Cricetulus griseus: one gene and its partner. The protein of the gene in region 1 binds, or shares a complex with, the protein of each later gene. Links are inferred from orthologs where the notes say so. Each region holds a gene or a part of one and is shown on either strand. Other genes may lie near its edges.

Evidence for each region.
Region 2: Myo7b (region 1) and Cdhr2 share a complex: the UniProt entries of both Homo sapiens proteins name them as parts of the IMAC/intermicrovillar adhesion complex. The link is inferred for Cricetulus griseus from reciprocal best matches to the Homo sapiens genes MYO7B and CDHR2.

What each region holds. Positions count from the first base shown.
Region 1 is NC_048595.1:205,350,231-205,354,549, reverse strand, and holds the start of Myo7b (unconventional myosin-VIIb), read right to left. Parts: upstream 2,860-4,319; coding exon 2,842-2,859; intron 1-2,841. UniProt on the Homo sapiens protein: Myosins are actin-based motor molecules with ATPase activity. Their highly divergent tails are presumed to bind to membranous compartments, which would be moved relative to actin filaments.
Region 2 is NC_048596.1:273,734,832-273,738,644, reverse strand, and holds part of Cdhr2 (cadherin-related family member 2), read right to left. Parts: intron 2,750-3,813; coding exon 2,660-2,749; intron 2,104-2,659; coding exon 1,978-2,103; intron 1,903-1,977; coding exon 1,756-1,902; intron 1,672-1,755; coding exon 1,596-1,671; intron 1,507-1,595; coding exon 1,391-1,506; intron 1,055-1,390; coding exon 821-1,054; intron 85-820; coding exon 1-84. UniProt on the Homo sapiens protein: Intermicrovillar adhesion molecule that forms, via its extracellular domain, calcium-dependent heterophilic complexes with CDHR5 on adjacent microvilli. Thereby, controls the packing of microvilli at the apical membrane of epithelial cells.

The DNA of each region.
Region 1 (4,319 bases):
TCTGCCTTAGGTTCCTGTCTTGAGCTTTCTGTCATGTTTTCCCTTGATGATAAACTGTAACCTGTAAGCCAAATAAACCCTTTCTCCCCCAACATGCTTGGGTCATGATGTCTATTTCAGCAACAGAAAAGCAAACTAGGGCATAGATCCTATCAAGTTGACAACCAATATCAACTATCACACAGACAAAAGGCAATTAAAAAATACAGCAAAGGAAATCTCACATATGATCTTAGGTAACGTAAGAACAATTAGGTCACTAATGGACACATACACAATGGTGGTCCCATTATACCATCTAGTTATAGTAGCTATCTTCATTTGTACAAATGCACTCCATTATGTTTACCCAACGAAATTGTTTGGCAATAATTTCTCAGAAAACTTTGATAAGAGTGGGTTGAGGTCAGGGACAATGGTTCAATGGGCAAAGAGCTTGCCACACAAGCATGAGTACTGTAGTTCCAATCCTTAGTGCCTACATGGCAGTCTGCCTATAATCTCAGTGCTCAGGAGGCAAGGACATGTGATCCCAGAGCAAGCTGCCTAGCTAGACTAGCTGAGTCAGTGAGTTTTTCAGTTCAAGTGGGGGGTGAGAGTCTTATTGGTTATTGGAGTTGGAGAAACCTCTATTGCACCATAAGAAAAAAGCAAACATGTTCCTTTGTCACTATCTTGGCTGGTGATCTCATCAAGATGGAGATAGCCATGTGACTTGGTCACCATCTTGGTTAGTGGTATCATTAAGATGCTGACCACCATGTGACTTTACTGCTATCTTGGTTAATGTACCACATGGGTGGCACCCATAAAGCTTCTTGGTTACCAATGGCCCTCCAGGGATCACTACACCCCTAGAATTTCCTGTACCACAGGCATTCAGTCACATATCCCAGTGCTCTTCCCTAATTGTTTTCTTTACTTTTTGATTTTCACTGTTCTGATGACTACTGGGATCAAGGAAATGGGAGGCCCAGAGGAGACTTCAACACAGGCTGTATTCCAGAGTGGTAGAGTCAAGGTATTTTCATATCAGACTAAAGAGGAAATGCCAGACCTTCATGGTGGCTTTTCTTTGTTTTTGTTGATGATTATGTTTGTTTTAATTATGAGGCATTATTTTACACCACATATTTATTGGTTTCTAGAGAGGATTTAAGAGTGTTCCTAGCCACGTGCTTTCAACACTAGCCAGCACCAACAGGACCTGACACTTAGAGATGTCCAGGCTTGGAAAGTTTCTGTGAGCAACTCAGGAAAAACTTGGGGAGGCACAGGCCCAGCCAAAATCTAAAAGAGATTGCTGGTGCCAGACAAGCTGCTGCTAGGGGCAGCTACAATAGCTGGGTACAAAAAGAAGTCAGCCCGCATGGGAAAGCTGGAGATCCAGGAGATGCTCACCCTTTGTGCCTGCTTGGTCTGCTTGTTACCTCTAAGCCTGTTTACCTCTCCCTTAGGTAGAATAGTCTGTCCCTTTGCTCCATGTTGTCTGTCTGCTTACACCTACCCCATTGAGTCCTGGGTGCTTTGGCTTTTATTTGACCCTCCCAGGACAATGTCATCCCTTTCTAAGTTCTTTTAACTCCAGAGTCATGGTTTTGTCAGGGCTTCCTCAGCTGCAATCTTCTGGATGCTATAACCATCAATTGGATGATGCTTGCTATGTATCTGCTGCTTCTCTCTATTGGCTACTTACACTCATTCAAAACCAGAAGCACGGTAATGACACCACTCTGTACCATATAAAGAGTACCTTGTATTTTCTAAAAGGTTTACCTGGTTACTTACAAAGCCATATAGTTTAACAGTGTGTACACTGGTAATACTAATGTAGTACATTGCCCTAAGTATGTAGTTTGAATTAAGCTTTCTTTTATTAAGGTAGTATTGCATATCACTGTCCTCTGAGGCAAAAAAAATAAAAAATAAAAAAAAATAAGCCATCTCTCTATGTCACGTGAGGGGCTCAGCTATACACAGTTTACTTGAGATCTGAACTTCACAGTACCTGAGAATAAAAGCACACTCCTTCTCTGTTTTACTTTTGAATTATTCTCAGGCTCTAGCATTTTCTGTGTTTCTGGATTCAAACAATTAACAAGCTCTCACTCCACCTCCTACACACGGAGTCATTACCTAGCCAAGCCACACAAACATAGACATTTACAGAGTGGACAGAACAAGGGTTACCCAGGCCCAGGCTTATTCCTACCCTGTTATCCCGGAGCAAGCTCTTGGAAGCTCCATACAAGACAACAAATGGGAACTCCCCATTCCTGCCCCAAGCGTGTAAAGTGTATGGGCAGAGGTGGATGTATGTGTGCGTGCATGCATGTGGAGGCCAGAGGAGAATCTCAGCTGCTGCTCCTCAGGGCTGTCCACCACATTTTTTGAGCTCAGATCTCTCACAGACTGGTACTAACAGACTCAACTAGGTTGGCTGACAACAGCCTCAGAGCTAGGATTACAAGCAAATACCAAACATACCTTGCTCCCCCCCCCCTTTCTTTTATTCTCTTCTTTTTTTTCAAGGTAGGCTCTGGGGTATCAACCTCAGATACTCATGCTTACAAGGCAAACATTTTACTGACTGAGCTGTCTCCCATCTCAGTAACCTCCCTTCTAAATCCCAAAATACAAGTGAGGAATTTCTGTGCACAAGTGGCCACTTGGCAGAGATGTAAATATTAGCCATGATTACTTTCTTCCAGTATTAGAACCCTTCCTAGTCCTCAACCACAGTCCCCAGTTGCCTTCTGGGGTCTCTTTGACTCTCTTCTTTCCTTGAAAGTGATGATTGACTGAGCCTTGGGAAACTTCCACAGTAAGTACCATCCTTACCAACCGGAACACCGACATCCCAGGTCAGCAGCTCCCTGTAGCCTGTAGAAGAAAAAAAAGAATGTCAGCCCCACAGCCTGCCATTGTGGATCCCCTGAAGAACAGGAGCTGTGTGAGTTTGTCATCCTGTCCTGTCCCCAAGTATCTTGACTGGAGCTTGGCTCCAGAAACAGCTCTGAATAGCTGGATGTGTGAGCCACATTCCCAGCCTGTGTACAAGAAGGTGCTTCTTGTCCTCTTCATCTTATGTCCCCTTCAGAGAACACTTGGCTCTTGGCTCTGGATTCCATTCAGGGAGTTTGGCAGTGCCTTATCATCCAGAAGCACAAGTTTTGAGGTAGGGGGAGAGAGAGTATTCCTGAGTGTGCAGGTGTGTGCATGTGCATGCATGTGGAAGATAGAAGTCAAACCTGGAAGTTATTTCTCAGGAGCAAACTGTGGTAGCATGAATGTAAATACACTCATAGGAAGTGGCACTATTAGGAGGTATGGCCTTGCTGGAGTAAGTGTGGTCTTGAAGGAAGTATGTCACCATGGGGGTGGGCTTTGAGGTCTTCTATGCTCAAGCTACCCTCAGTGTGGACATAGACTCCTCTGATGCCTGCAGATCAAGATAGAGGATTCTCAGTTCCTTCTCCAGCACCATGTCTGCCTGCACATTACCATGATGATAATGGACTAAACCTCTGAAACTGTAAGCCATCCTAATTAAATGTTTTCCTTTATAAGAGTTGCCATTGTCATGGTGTCTCTTCACAGCAACAGAAACACTAAGACACTATCCATCAACATTCTTTCTTTCTTTCTTTCTTTCTTTCTTTCTTTCTTTCCCTTTCTCTTTCACTCTTTCTTCCTTTTGTGTATTGTGGTATATGTGTGTGATGAGGGGTGCATACATGTGCCCACATACATGTAGAGACCAGAAGTTTGTGCTGGATGTTTTCCTTGGTCATCTCTACTTTATGTATTGAGGCAGGGTCTCTCTCTGAACTCAAAGTTCACTGACTCAGATTGTTAGTTAGGCAATTTTTCCTGGGGATCCCTGTCTCCACCTTCAAGGACTGAGGTTACAGGTGGACAGCCCTATACTTGTGGTATAGACGTAGGTACTTGTACCTGAATTCCAGTTGTCATATTTGTATAGCAAATTAGCTACTTCTTCAGTACCCACCTTGTTTTTTGAGACAAGCTTTTTGAGACAAGGTCTCTCACTGGAACTTGGAACTCACCAAGTAGACTAGGTTGTCAAGTAGACTAAAGCAGTGAGTCATTGAGATTCCCCTGTCTCTGCCTCCCAGTTCTGGATTACAAGCATGTGCTACCATGCCCACCTAATCCAGGAGTCTAACTGGTCCCATATCTATGCAAAGTAGTCTTCACTATATGTCCCAGGAAGGGCTCAGCTATACACAGTTTGTTTACTTGTGGTGGTTTGAATAAGAATGACCCCTATAGGCTCATATATTTGAATGCTTAAT
Region 2 (3,813 bases), on another chromosome or scaffold:
AGACCCTGCCGCTCGCTCTGGGGACACGTTGAAGGCGTCAGCATCTTCGCCGTCCAGGGACAGCAGGAAGGTACCATTGTCGCCCTGTTAAGGAGGGTGGTGTAGTAGGGATTGACCCCCTATGTGTGTCTTTCCCCAGTTGTCAAGCTCAGGCTTTCTGCAGAAGCCCTGCCCAGTGAGACCCACAGAGGGAGTCAGGAAAGACCTAGACAATAATCCAGGCTCAGGAAGTTGGGCTGGCTATTCAGCTCTGTAAATGCAGCCTGGGCAGTTGAAGACTGCCCAAGGCACTGTGGGTCCCCAGGGCTAGAGACATAAGCCACACTCCCCCCACCCCTATAATATTCCCACCCCATCCCAGCCTGTTCCCTCGCCCGTCATCGCTGTGGTGGTTCCTTCCAAGCTGATCAGTCAGATCACTTTAAACACCCACTTCCCCAAACCACAGGCCAGCCAGAGCCAACAGCACCAGTGTCCCCGTGTCCCAGCCACTCACTGTTGCCTAGCACCCAATATCAACCTCCATTCCACACTGCTTCTGCTCAGCACCACCCAGTATTCCCCTGAACGTCGCCAGACAGCACGCACCAACCTCCACTTTGCACGACTCCCGGATCGGCGCCACCGTCCTTACCATCGTATTTCTACGTTTGTTCCCCGTGGACGCCACCCATCATCCTGCATACTCTGTAATCCACTGCCCGTCTCAACTCCAGTCATCACCACTCTCTTTCCCTCCCCCTTCACTACCCCCTTCTCCCATCTGTGACCCCTCCCCCCCATCCCTTCTCCAGCGGTGCTCCCCCTCCCGTGCACCTGCCTGATCTGGATCATAGGCCACCATGGTCAGGAAATCGATGGGGATTCGGGCAGAGGTGTGCTCATCCACGTAGCCTGTGAAGTTGTCTTGGGCCTCTTGGGGGCTGAAGGAGCAGTTTGGGAGGCTGCAGTTGTAAAATTCTGGCTTGTGGTCATTGACATCTGTCACCCTTATTGTGACCCAGATAGTTGCCTTGGCCTCTTGCCCGTAGATGTTACGATGCCCCTCAGTGGCCTGAGGTACAAAACAGAAGGCAGGGGGCAGAGACCAATACTCAGAGAGCGAGGTCTAAGGGCAAGGGTTAGAGACCAATACTCAGAGAGCGAGGTCTAAGGGCAAGGGTTAGAGACCAATACTCAGAGAGCGAGGTCTAAGGGCAAGGGTTAGAGACCAATACTCAGAGAGCGAGGTCTAAGGTCAAGGGTTAGAGACCAATACTCAGAGAGCGAGGTCTAAGGTCAAGGGTTAGAGACCAATACTCAGAGAGCGAGGTCTAAGGTCAAGGGTTAGAGACCAATACTCAGAGAGCGAGGTCTAAGGGCAAGGGTTAGAGAGAGGAGCCTCACTCACGGCCACTTGTATGTGCACTTCTCCATTGTCATTCAGCAGCTGCTCTCTGTCCAGGGCGCCGCTGACCGTGATGACGCCATCTTTCTCGATGCTGAACCATCCGGGCCTTGTGGAGTCTGATAGGGAGGTACTTGCAGCAGCTCTTCCAGGGGCTCTGACCACCCCACCCTTACCCCAGCCCTCCGGGGGACACCCTGCTTCTCACTGGTGATGCTGTAGGTCACATTGTCATTGACGCCTTTGTCAGCATCCACGGCCTCCACCTTCAGCACTGAGGTTCCCTGGGAGGAGGTTTGATGAGTGCATTTGACCCTTTGCTTAGACACTCACTGCTATCCTGCACCCTCACAGTCCCCAGCACATACCAAGGCCGCATCCTCAGCCACAGAGGCTGAGTAAAACTCCCTGACGAACTGGGGGTCCAGGTCCGGCTCATCAACCACTGAGATGGACAGGAAGACTGGCTGGGAGCACAGGGTGACTTGGCTGTTATTCCACTCACCGCCTGAGTCCTGTGGGCGAGAAGGTCTCCTGTGAGCCAGTGCCACAACTCTGAGCCCCCTAGCTCTGGTTACACGGGCACTCACACAGGCCTTCAGCTGCAGCTGGTAGAAGGCACTCTTGTTGTTGTAGCTCAGGCTTTCATTCAACACAATGGAGCCATTTTGCAGAATGTAGAAAAGATTCTTGCTGTCATCATTGCTGGGGATCACCTACAACAGAGGCTACTTGGGTGACACCTGTTCATACACCCTCCTCTGAGAGACATAGGGCCAAATACGGGCTCTTCCATTGGCTAGAAATGCCAATGTTTCCAAGCCTTGTAATCTCTCTGAACCCTGGTTTCTCCCCTTGGCTGATATAATTGCTACGGTGGGTTGAAAGTAAGTTTTTAGTTGGTGTTCAAGTAGTGGTGGGATCTCTAGCAAACCAGCCATCACAAAACACTTGTGTTTTGATTGTCTGGGTGAGCTTTGGCAAGATCCAGGCCTCTCTAGCCTTGATCTCTCTGGGAGCTGTGGATGCTTCAGCATGCGAGAGGCTGGTGGGGGGGAGGACTGGACCCTCCTCCAGCAACTGGGCAAAGTGAGATTTCCCTGTGGAGGGAGGCGTCGGGGTGGGGAAGAAAGCAGAGGGTGATGGGGTGGTCAGAAAGGTGGGGGGGCGGAGCCAGAGCTATGATTGCCTTGAGGATGCTGCCCCCTGGTGGACACGAGGCACAGGGATGCTGGCTCCCACCTGGGGGACCCAGCGATTTACAACACTCACCTTCTCTATGTAGTACCTCACTAAACCTGCTGGCCCAGTGTCCTTGTCCAAAGCCAGCACAGAGAACACCACGGAGCCGACTGGCAGGGTCTGTAAAAAAGGACTTTTCACCTGTGTGTCCATCCCATCCCAGCCCTGGGCTGGGCCTTCAGGGGAGGCATTAGACAATTAGGACAGGCAGCCAGGTGGTGGTGTACACCTTTAATCCCAGCACTCAGGAGGCAGGGATAGGCAGATCTCTGAGTTCAAGGCCAGCCTGGTCTAGAGTGAGCTCCAAGACAGCCAGTCTCGAAAAACAAAACAGCAAAAATAAAAGATGGGGCAGTGCCCTTTCCCCCAAATAACCCTGGTATGGAAACTCCTCCCTGCACAGTCTCATACCCCCAGAGCTGATTTATACAATCTCCCAAGACCACAGTGAAAGAACATGCTAGAACCCAGCCTGACTGAGCCTCTCCACTGCTCAGTACCCTATAGCCCACAGCCTGTGTCAGACTTCCACACTCTTAGCTCCTGGAAGTTCCCCATTCTTCCCAGAATATGGTCCAAACAGTTTCTGTGGCCCTCAGCAGTCTCTGCCGCTCCCCAGCCTCTACCTACCCTCAGCCTCTGAGGCCAGCCTCATCACTCACTTTGCATGTGCTGTTCCCAAACCTGGAACATTCCTTCCCTGGAGATTCTCCTGGCAGGCTCCATGCTATCCAGGTCTCTGTCTAGAAGTCACCCGCTGTGGAATAACCCTTCTCTACACTGTGAACATGTATTACTCTGATTGGCTTAATAAAGAATCTGACTGGCCAATAGCTGAACAGGGAAAGGTTAGGTGGGACAGCCAAAATGAGCATTCTGGAAGGAAGAATGGTGGCGTGAGGAGAGCAGATTCAGGGAGAAGCAAGATGGGCCTGCCGTGCTGAGAAAAGGCACCAAGCCACATGGCAAAGCAGAGATAAGAAATGAGGGTTAATTTAAATGTAAGAGTTAGCTAGTAACAAGCCTGAGCTACTGGCCGAGCATTTACAACTGCTATTAAGCCTCTGTGTTGGTTATTTGAGAAGTGACTGCTGGGACAGAAAACTCCACCTACAGTCACCTGCTCGCAGAAGCCAGAAGCAGCCCCTCTGTAGGGACTTTCTTGCACTCCTCCCTGCCTTGTC